Saccharomyces cerevisiae S288C: one gene and its partners. The main gene of each other region encodes a partner of the protein of the gene in region 3 in a complex. Each region holds a gene or a part of one and is shown on either strand. Other genes may lie near its edges. The genes, in order: POT1, PEX7 and PEX21. A codon is read from its position in the direction of its gene.

Region 1 (3,492 bases), on a different chromosome or scaffold from region 3:
GAAGAAGTGAGAGTCGAGAAATCTCAAGCGAAAAACAGAAGGCGGAAAAACAATAATGGAGCTAATAAAAAGAATACCCTACACTACTCAAAGGAAATTAATGTAGAAGAGCGAAAACAAATCGCAAAAAGGCAAGAAGAAATCGAACAATGCATTCACACCTTATCCGATTTTAAACTGTTTAAAAAGGGTAAGCACGTTACCTCATATGGCTATCGAATCTCCCCCATGACAGACTCCGGTAAGATTTCTTTGAAAATTTTATTCAACATACCTTTGGATTATCCAAAGGCCCCAATAAAACTAACGATGAAAAGTAATGAAGAAGTTTCCTCTTACATGGACACCGTGATAGCGAATTTCAACTGGAAAGCCCGTCAATTGGTTAAGGAGGACTGGAGGATATTATCTCAAATAAACTATTTGGTTAGTGAGTTAGAAATATTGAAAATGGAAAATTATAAACAAATTGATAAACTACGTAATAGCTTTTACAAAACCATATAAATATGAGCATAATAAAAAGGGAGAATATTAACTATTATCAAGTATTAAAACTATTCTTTAATAAAGATGGCGGCGGCACCCATACCAGTACCGATACACATACTAACAACCCCGATTTGATCCTTTTTCAGTTCTCTTAGTATGGTAGCTACTTGCCTTGCGCCAGTACAACCCAAGGGATGGCCTAACGCGATTGCACCACCTCTTGGATTTACTTTATTCAAATCGATGCCCAGTTTATGGATGCAGTATAATGCTTGGGCCGCGAATGCTTCATTTATTTCAAAAATATCGATATCTTGGACTTGCAAGCCAGTAGCTTCCAGGACTTTTGGTATGGCGTATGCAGGGCCCACACCCATGATTTCAGGGGGAACCCCCACTGTTTGAAAATCGATGTAGCGACCTAGCACAGGCAGATTTAACTGGTTGGCTACGGACCTGCGGGCTAACAAGACACCTGCCACACCATCGGAGACCTGGGATGCATTGCCCGCAGTTGTGGTTCCTCTGTCTTTGATAAAGGCAGGCCTGATGCTTGAAAGCGACTCCGCAGTGACGTTAGGGCGTGGCCCTTCGTCCGACTGGCAAATTGAGCCATCTGGTAATTTTATAGGTAAAATTTCATCTTCGAAAAGCCCCTCATTTTTCGCCTTGTAAGCTTTTTGATATGAATTCGCAGCGAACTCGTCTTGATCCTTTCTACTGATCTTGAAATTAGCGGCAACATTCTCATTAGTAATGCCCATTGGTATTAGACATTTCTTCGCTTCTCGGTTTTTTTGCAGCTCTTCAGAGGAGATCATGCCCAAGGGATTGACGTTTTTGTAGTTATTGGTCATTGATTCCACTCCCAGCGCCAAACCAATATCAATTTGCCCAACCTTAATCTTGTTGGCAATATCGTTCACCGCCGTTAAACCTGAAGAACATTGTCTGTTTAAAGCGACAAATGGCGTCGAGTAGGGAATCCCACTTGCCAAGCATGCAGCCCTGTGTTCTGTAGCACCGGCTCCAACATTGAGAACATTTCCACAGGCAACTTCTTCGATTAAGTTCAAATCAGCCCTCAAAGGTTCCGGAAACCTCCCGATGAACTCATTGAGAAAGTTGTATAATAAGTAGTCTGTGTTTACATCTTTGAAGGCACCTTTAAAACCTTTACCGATGGCAGACCTGTTAGCAGCCACAATAACTACATCTTCGGGTCTTTTCTCCAGCAACGAGTTCTTCCTCTTCGATTCACCCTTACCCATGGCGCTCTCCACCAAATGATCCTTGATACTTTGTAGTCTTTGAGACATTGCTTTTATGTAGTGTTATATTCACTCTGTACTCAGAGCCACAAGAAATAACCATTCGATTTCAATAGAACTGAGATGCAAAAGTATACCCTATTTATATCTCTTCTTTCTAGTAAAACTCCAATAAATTTGAAACCAATAGAGGGAGAAAGGAAAAAAAAGCTGCGGTGTTAATACTATTATCCCCGTTTCCCTTTGATAGCGCCTTACACGGCGCTACCACATCATTACCCTCCTCATGTTGACGCGTCAAGTTTTTTTTCTTTTTTCGCTATTTGTGGCATAGGTTCAAAACTAGCAAATTCTTGATCTTTTGAAGATTACATAGTGATGATGATCGTGACACAAAAGCAGATAAAAAAATAGCACAATCATCAGCGATGGACTCTTCCCCGAACAAGAAGACGTACCGCTACCCTCGCAGATCGCTGTCACTTCACGCGCGTGATAGGGTCAGCGAAGCCCGTAAATTGGAAGAATTGAATTTGAACGATGGGCTGGTTGCCGCTGGCTTGCAGTTGGTCGGTGTAGCGTTAGAGAAACAAGGTACAGGATCACATATATACATGAAACAGAAGAATTTCTCAGCTAATGACGTTTCTTCGTCACCAATGGTTTCCGAAGAAGTGAACGGATCGGAAATGGATTTTAATCCGAAGTGCATGCCTCAGGACGCATCACTCGTCGAAAGAATGTTTGATGAGCTTTTAAAAGATGGAACTTTTTTTTGGGGGGCTGCTTATAAGAATTTACAAAACATCTCTCTACGAAGGAAATGGTTATTGATATGTAAAATCCGTAGTTCCAATCATTGGGGGAAAAAGAAAGTGACTTCGAGCACGACATACTCTACACATTTGGCCACTAATGAACTAGCTGAAAACGCACACTTTTTGGATGGCCTAGTTAGAAACCTTTCAACAGGTGGCATGAAGTTATCGAAGGCTCTATATAAACTAGAAAAATTCCTGCGAAAGCAAAGCTTTTTGCAACTTTTTCTCAAGGATGAAATTTACTTGACGACATTGATCGAAAAGACTTTGCCACTCATATCCAAGGAATTACAATTTGTTTATCTTCGGTGCTTTAAAATACTGATGAACAACCCACTGGCGAGAATAAGAGCACTACATTCTGAGCCTTTAATTCGCTGGTTCACCGAGCTTCTGACGGATCAAAATTCTAATTTGAAATGTCAGTTACTTTCTATGGAGTTACTTTTATTATTAACGTATGTTGAGGGTTCCACGGGTTGTGAGTTGATATGGGACCAGCTTTCCATATTATTCACCGATTGGCTAGAATGGTTTGACAAAATCCTTGCGGATGATATTGCAATTCATTCATCCCTTTATTTGAACTGGAACCAATTAAAAATAGACTATTCGACAACTTTCCTACTGCTAATAAACTCCATACTGCAAGGTTTCAACAACAAGACTGCACTAGAAATTTTGAATTTTTTGAAAAAGAATAATATACATAACACTATCACATTTTTAGAACTGGCCTATAAAGATGATCCTAATAGTGTCGTGATCATGGAACAAATAAAACAATTCAAATCCAAAGAATCTGCGATATTTGACTCGATGATAAAAACTACCAACGATACGAATTCGCTTCACCCAACAAAAGATATCGCAAGAATAGAAAGCGAGCCTCTATGTCTTGAAAATTG
Region 2 (3,636 bases), on a different chromosome or scaffold from region 3:
TGTAAGGGGCTTTAGTGGTAAGGACATTTTTTGTCGATCCTCTCAGAAAAAGCTGCTCTGTCGGCTTTTTATTTCACCGTTATAAACATAATTGGGAGGCTTGAGTTTTATATTAGGTATTGCTATTGTTCCTTTTCCAGTGAGATCGAAGCTTAGCCTTTGAAAAAACCAAAATCACTTTTGATCACGTGCCTCGGGTGGAACGCCCAGCAAATATATAAGTATGTCGTTTATTAATAAAACGGTAATCGGACTCTAAATATTCCTTCTTTCAGCACTCGCTTATGTCGTTATAAAAACTTGATTAATTTGAGTAATTAGCAGTTTTTGCCGTAGGTATGTTTTTAGAATGTTCTTTTGCACAGTCAGAAGCGTTGTTACCCATAATTTCGTGTTGAGAATATTAAATAATTACGTAAATGATCTGCCAAATGCTGACAATGATTGAAAAATAATTTTAAAGTTTAAATAATGCAAAAAATTTGTGTAAAAAGAATATGTGTCAACCTAAGCCGTTCCATACAAATAAATTTCCATCCCATGCAGTTGAAGCCACATATCCTGGCTTTCCCCACAAGCTCCAGTCAGCTCCAAATACGAATTCTGAATGCTGTGTGAAATTGAAAATGGAACCTTTAGTAGCATCCGTAGAGTTAGTTTTATATGTTTCTTTTGCACCATCGTTGCTGAGATCTCTCCATATTCGACAGGTCATATCATATGAAGCTGACATTAAAATATTGGAATGATGAGGGGACCAGGTAACTTTTCTGATTGCCAGCCCGTGCGCATTAGGGATTTCATTGATGCATGATGAATTGTGAAGTTGGCCGGGCACAGTCCTCTTGATAGTCGCTGATTCATTTTTATTTAGCATCCTAATGTCCCAGATTCTAATGGCATTATCTACACCTCCTGTGGCAACTACATAAGGTCTGTATTTGTTGAAATCGCAAGTCAATGCTTCTAGTCCTGAATGCACTAAAAAATTATTCTGATTTTTGCCGGAAGGTAGTCTAATGTCAAATAAGCTTGCATAAGAATTCCCTGAACAGGATAATACGAGATTTTGGTCGTGGGGCGAGAACTGTGCTTGGTATACACAGTTCCTGTTTTTTGAAATACCTGTAAAGCTTTTCTTTTTCAATATAATGGCGTTTAATGGATCCACCATTTTGGTAATCTCTAAAGGTCGTGGAGTAAGGGTCATTAAACTTTGCTTTCTTAGAGGGGACCATATTTTTATAGATCCATCCCATGAACTACTTAAGAAATTCTGCCTGTTGACTAAGTTCCAATTACAACTGAATACTTCTCGTTCATGCTCTTTAAATATAGCAATAGGAAACTCTTTAAAGGTTGTATCAAACAAGCGTAATGTACCATCGCCCTGTGCAACCAACACTTGGTTTTCATGACTTTCGTTCCATGCAAGATCAAATAAACAATCCTGTGTTAAAAAGGAATTAACTTCCACTATTCTACCTGAACGATCAATCTCAAGGATGAACAATTTTCCATTCCCAACCAGGCCAAAGTTTGAACCAGCAGCTACCGCGAGCCTGTTATCGAAAAAGGGAGAATACTGGACACCGTACCCACTAAAACCTTGCATATGATATCTGAGCATGTTGTATAAATTATGCAAAAAGTTAGATGATAGTCCGTTAACAATATGAGATCTCTGCACTTTTCGAGCGTCGAATTCCAAATCAGAAAGAAAACGATTTCGACCTCCGGTAAAAGATTTTATGGTAAGAAAACACAGTTTGTGTTCCACAGTTCTTAAAAGTGTTTTCACCTTTTACTGTTTTGCGAAACGACTTTTCAGAGGAGGTTATGTCGGTGGTTTAATTTCTCGGCCTTCATATTTACTTGCTGGAGACATGCAAATTTCTGATTAACAATGATTATAGAACTTTAAGTAGAAGTAAAGAAAAATAAGTATATGATATATATATATAAAGATGCAGATAAAAAAAAGGTAAAAGGAGTAGAAAATAATGTCTGAAAATGGATGACTGCCAATAGGACATATTTTCATATTAACATACTTCAGAAGCGGTATTGTTTATTGTGATGATCGTTGCTCATTGTTATCATTAGGGACGTCGTTATGAATGGTGGTGTCCGAACTGCTTGAACCTTGGCCTTGAGAGGGATTTTCGTCTGTAGGAGGAAAGGCAGCAGAATTGTTGTTGCGTAGTTCGACGGTAGTAACATCACCATTTTGATTTCTATAACTGGCAACACCGGAGGAAAACAAGTTATTTCTGTTGTTCTCACCAGTACTTCCACCTCGTTGTTGATCATTGCTATGGTTATTGTCGTTATTGTTGTCTCTTGAGCCATTCGTAAAATGGCCTGTTAATCGTGAAATATTTTCCAAAAAGGAACTTCCTTGCGTTGTATCAGAGGACGATGAGTCATTACGTCCTTGGTTGTGAACAGTTTGTGCTCCGGGTGCTGTTGTTGCAGAGGTATCAGAAGTTCCCCTCTGAGCAACGTTGAATATGTGATCCAAAACGGCTCTTAGTCTGTTGTGGTGAGGGTCTGTAGCGTCACTACTAGTGTTATTTGAGTTTGGACCGTTCGCTGCTGATGGGCTTGCCGAAGAATCAGAAGCGGAAGGATTCGGATTTGGACTGTGGAATTGGAACAAAGTCAAAGGGATGGGAACCCAGCGCGGACTTTGATTGTTATTCGAACCACCAGAATTAGAGGGTGGATTTTGAGTAGTTGAGCTCGGCCCGTTGACACCGTTTCTATCGCTATCATTAGGCGGTAAACGGACTGGATTGTGTAAAGGTTGGCCGTTTTGAGGCACTAAAAAAAAGCCTGTTCTTGATAACATCTGTTCGCCAGAACTTGCATTTCCGATAGTGGGAACCGTTGTATTGGACGTGTTTTCGGATGGGGCGGAACTATTTTCGTTAGTGCTATTCACTGCAGTTGGGTCGTATAAAACTCGTCTAATACGTTCAAAAGCAGCTTCGTTAGCTGCTACTTCATCCGTATCTTGTTGGGCTGCACGTTGAACACCTACAGATTCGCTGATCTTTTGTCTACAAAGGGGACAAGAATTTTCTAATCTTGACCATTTGTAGATACATTCCCTCCCAAAAATGTGGCCACAAGGTAACTTGATTGGTGAGTGTTTGTAGCTTGGATTTGTTTCTTCATCATTGAGAGTGCGTTGTTGTTCAGTGAGAGGAATAGAAGGCGGTTCAACAACCGTAGCATTTGTAATCGATGGGTTACTGTCATTATCGGCGGTTGTGCGTAGGGGCGCACCTTCATTATCCTTCCTTTTTTTTGTTCCTTCAGATTCCTCCTCATTTTCAGAATCCCTTTTTCTTTTTGCTTTAGTTGAATCAACTTCATCTTCATATTCGTCATAACATATACTACATAAGGGCCCTTCGGCCTTGGGTAGATCAGAAACTTGCAGAACGGGGAGCTTATCAAACTCATCCTTTGATATTCCTTTTGGTCTATTTAATAGTCTGTTGAATCTCTCCATTGCAAGCTGAGCAGCAACAGATATGAAGCTGTTCAAACGGTCTTGTGGAGTAGACGCAGGAACATCACGAAAAGATAAAACAAGAGCACCGTCGGGTTGATGGCCCCCATTTC
Region 3 (3,193 bases):
GAAATCAGAGAAGGTCCCGTGTCCGTAGGTACCTTATTTGTCAGCTTGAAAGGTACCATAGCTACTTAAGGGGTTGCCTGCCTCATCCAAATCATTTTTTTTTTTTGTTACAACCTATGCTAAAATTCACGTGTACGCATTTCAAAATTGAAAAAAAAAAGAGCAAGCAACACCAAAACCAAACTTCATAATAAATTAGTATCCCAAAAGACCCTTTCACAAGGTAATTACTTCCTTCGAGACTAATTCGGGTTTTGCGAAGCTTTTTTTTTTTTCTTCACAGTTTCTCCCAAGAGAAGAAAAAATTCACAAGCGTGTCATTTCGTGCAGCTTACATCAGCACAATCCATGCACAAAAAAGGTGTAGTAAGTTTTAAACGAGAGAGATGGGCATGACAGTAGGTAGGGCATGCATCTGCAGGAGTGAAGCTGCGATACTCCTCAGCGCAGAGAACACATAAGGGCACATATTCATGATTTTGATATTCTTAGCTATCTGTAAACATATATCAACGTATGTAGTAGTTACAAGAGGTACAATTGTAGAAACTGCCTATATCAATCAAGTATGTCTTTGTGAATTTCGTCCTTGACGAAAATGTGCCTGTTTCCGACCAGTTCCCCGTTGTTGGATGAGAATAACTCGCTTGCGGAATTTCCATCTGCATTTTTCTTTAAAGTCACGTCACCGCTACTAATGTTTCTCATTAACTGAATAAACTTCGACTCAGATAGTTTTGATTCGACAGAGGAGGAAAGAGTAGAAGAGGAGGATGCAGACGAAGGCGGTGGAGTACAGCATTTTACTATATCTGTGGCAATCCTTTGCAGTTCCGACTGATCTTGGTCGAACCATTTCTCGTCCCGACGTGTTATGGGCTCGTACCGCTCTTTTTGAATTTCTCTCTCCAAAACTTGGAACTCCGCGTCGAATTGAAACGCATCCGTTGGGTTGTCCCGGTTTCCTTGGCGTTGCTGTCGAAGCGTCTTTTGAGGTGGGTAAGTGCAACTTGTCTTCCTTATCATACAATTCTTAAAAGGTAAGTGTTGTCTGCTTGAATTCAGGCGCTGCTGTGACTCGTAATTGGAATACAACCTTTTATATTCTGAGCTAAACTCTAGTGAATCGTCAATCTTCATAGACGAGAACTGCGGAACCCAATCACTGGAATCTACAGTGTTGTTTGGAGTAATGAAGGTTAATGGAGAGGGTTGATTTTGATACCTTACATTGTCAATGCCGTCAAAATTACTACCATTATGCAAAAAGTGTTTTTCCACATGCGAGTCTTCAGTGGCATAGTGTGCTGTTAATTCCGTATGGGCCAGCTTGGTGCGTTTTGACGGTATTAAGGAATCATTCTGTATGCGATGCCCTTGTTGGATAATCTTTTCTATCGGGCTTGTATGGCAGACACTGGGCATGGTATTCTAGTTTGGTCTTTATAATTTTTCACCTGTTTCTTTTTGAAACAAAACCAAAGTATGCGGCGTCAACCTTGACTATATTCTCTTAAATATATATCTGCCGTTCTATCAGAGGTTTGAACATTGCCAATGCCTTAAAGAAATATTTAGTCATCCCATCTCCGATTATCGGCACTAGTTTCCATTTTTCCAGCGGAAAGATAAAAAGAAACGGAAAGAAAAAAGGCCGACAAATAAACCAAACGGTATTCGTAGACCGATGACAATACGACTACAATTAAGGTAGCGCGCCTCACTATGATGTGGATCAGCCTCACATTCAGAGCAATTTGTAGTACAGCAAAGTTGCCGATGTCGTCTTCGTGAACCATTGTCAACGCAGATTAAGCACACCCTAAAACTTGAATAATGCAAATTCCATAGCTTAGTTTAATCAAGGCGCCATTATTCCTCAGTTGAAAAGTATATCTAATGGTTAGGATTAGAAATATGTTCATTGCTCATTGTTATGTGTATCATATCGTACAAAAATTATATAAAGAAATAATAATGAAAAAGAGTAAAACAAAGACAAATAGACAAAAATAGAGGATAGAAAAAGAAAAACAACAGATACATAAATAAGTCTTATGACAAAAAAACGATTGTATAAAAATTAAAGTGCATGCCATTTTTACCTCCTTTTGCTTAACTTAAACTTTTCATTGCAATCATTCATTTGTTTTCAGCGGCTAAAGCGGCTACCTCAGCTCTCAACTTTAATCTACCGGACAGGATGTCACCAATCTTGTTGTATTCAGCCCAGTGAACTTCAAAACCCTTTCTTAATTCAACGTTGGTTTCGTTTTCCCAAAGGTTAGCAATTGGCTTGAAGGAAACGTGAGAACCATTAACACAGATAACAGCAGCAGAGTCATCTTCGTGCTCAACAGTTGGTACCTTTTCACCGTGAGTATCGAACTTGAATCTCAAAACCTTAGCGTCAGTGTTTGGAGAAGCTTCATTTTTCTTGTTCCATTGTTCGATAAACTTGATACATTTGACAGCAAATCTGGAAGCGGTGACACGGTCTTTAGAAGATGGAACACCACCTTGTTGAACATGGCCTGGGATAGCAGTTCTAACACCAAACTTACCCTTGCTTGCTTCAGAGATGATGTCAGCCAACAATTGAGTGCTATATACGCTAGAAGCTTGTTCGTTTCTAACCAATAGCTTACCGTTTCTGTTTTCACCTTTGTCGTGACGAAAGTTCTCTTTTAATAGAGTTATATCTTCTCTGATAGAAGCTAAGTCGATCTTCTTTTCTGGAGTGTACACTGAAACAGCACCAGTGATTAAACCAGTGAAAGAAGCGATGTAACCAGAGTGACCACCTTGGACTTCACAGACGAAGACTCTTCTTCTTGTCGCAGAAGCACTCTGTTTGATGTCATCAGTGTAATTGACTAATGCGTTCAAACAGGTATCAACACCAAGTGAGTATTCAGTACCTGGAACGTTGTTAGAAACAGTGGCTGGAATCAAACACATTGGAATGTTAAAGATTGGGTGTTGGGTTCTACCGTCACGCAATTGCTTCAAGGACCTGAAACCTTCAAAACCACCAAGAATAATCAAACCGTCTAGCTTGTTCTTTTGGAAGTAGTAAGCAATGGTACCCAAATCTTCTGAAGCAACAGATCTGTTCGTACCGATTTCGGAACCACCCAAGTTATGCCAGTTTTCGACATCAATCCATGATAGTTCCTTCACTTCACCGGTT

What was found.
Region 1: the proteins of PEX21 (region 3) and POT1 are in contact, whole or in part, in a crystal structure (PDB 3W15), measured with the Saccharomyces cerevisiae proteins. Residues at the interface, in NP_011755.3 of Saccharomyces cerevisiae: Leu199 (codon at 831), Ile202 (codon at 822), Ala203 (codon at 819), Asp205 (codon at 813), Ile206 (codon at 810), Cys209 (codon at 801), Cys210 (codon at 798), Thr211 (codon at 795), Leu231 (codon at 735), Phe236 (codon at 720), Met240 (codon at 708), Ile243 (codon at 699), Leu250 (codon at 678), Leu262 (codon at 642); in NP_012106.1 of Saccharomyces cerevisiae: Met1 (codon at 1,811), Ser2 (codon at 1,808), Leu5 (codon at 1,799), Gln6 (codon at 1,796), Ile8 (codon at 1,790), Lys9 (codon at 1,787), Leu12 (codon at 1,778), Val13 (codon at 1,775).
Region 2: the proteins of PEX21 (region 3) and PEX7 are in contact, whole or in part, in a crystal structure (PDB 3W15), measured with the Saccharomyces cerevisiae proteins. Residues at the interface, in NP_011755.3 of Saccharomyces cerevisiae: Val227 (codon at 747), Lys230 (codon at 738), Leu231 (codon at 735), Ser234 (codon at 726), Lys235 (codon at 723), Phe236 (codon at 720), Leu239 (codon at 711), Leu250 (codon at 678), Ser260 (codon at 648), Glu261 (codon at 645), Leu262 (codon at 642), Val271 (codon at 615), Gly272 (codon at 612), Asn273 (codon at 609), Arg274 (codon at 606), His275 (codon at 603), Ile276 (codon at 600), Phe277 (codon at 597), Val278 (codon at 594), Lys279 (codon at 591), Asp280 (codon at 588), Glu281 (codon at 585), Ile282 (codon at 582), His283 (codon at 579), Ile286 (codon at 570), Leu287 (codon at 567), Asp288 (codon at 564); in NP_010426.1 of Saccharomyces cerevisiae: Gln7 (codon at 1,612), Gly8 (codon at 1,609), Phe9 (codon at 1,606), Ser30 (codon at 1,543), Asn31 (codon at 1,540), Phe32 (codon at 1,537), Leu34 (codon at 1,531), Val35 (codon at 1,528), Gly36 (codon at 1,525), Asn37 (codon at 1,522), Leu58 (codon at 1,459), Thr59 (codon at 1,456), Gln60 (codon at 1,453), His72 (codon at 1,417), Arg86 (codon at 1,375), Asp89 (codon at 1,366), Thr91 (codon at 1,360), Phe92 (codon at 1,357), Lys93 (codon at 1,354), Phe95 (codon at 1,348), Pro96 (codon at 1,345), Ile97 (codon at 1,342), Ala98 (codon at 1,339), Ile99 (codon at 1,336), Leu284 (codon at 781), Asp305 (codon at 718), Met306 (codon at 715), Thr339 (codon at 616), His341 (codon at 610), Ser342 (codon at 607).

What each region holds. Positions count from the first base shown.
Region 1 is NC_001141.2:39,634-43,125, forward strand, and holds POT1 (acetyl-CoA C-acyltransferase), read right to left. Parts: upstream 1,812-3,492; coding exon 558-1,811; downstream 1-557. Other genes in the region: SMU2 (Smu2p), read left to right, coding at 1-507; formin BNR1, read left to right, coding at 2,192-3,492. UniProt on the Saccharomyces cerevisiae protein: Responsible for the thiolytic cleavage of straight chain 3-keto fatty acyl-CoAs (3-oxoacyl-CoAs).
Region 2 is NC_001136.10:739,971-743,606, forward strand, and holds PEX7 (Pex7p), read right to left. Parts: upstream 1,631-3,636; coding exon 503-1,630; downstream 1-502. Other genes in the region: DOP1 (Dop1p), read right to left, coding at 1-27; ubiquitin-protein ligase SAN1, read right to left, coding at 2,072-3,636. UniProt on the Saccharomyces cerevisiae protein: Receptor required for the peroxisomal import of proteins containing a C-terminal PTS2-type peroxisomal targeting signal, such as 3-oxoacyl-CoA thiolase. Specifically binds to cargo proteins containing a PTS2 peroxisomal targeting signal in the cytosol.
Region 3 is NC_001139.9:968,629-971,821, forward strand, and holds PEX21 (Pex21p), read right to left. Parts: upstream 1,426-3,193; coding exon 559-1,425; downstream 1-558. Other genes in the region: KEL2 (Kel2p), read right to left, coding at 1-59; PFK1 (6-phosphofructokinase subunit alpha), read right to left, coding at 2,143-3,193. UniProt on the Saccharomyces cerevisiae protein: Receptor that mediates peroxisomal import of proteins containing a C-terminal PTS2-type peroxisomal targeting signal via its interaction with PEX7.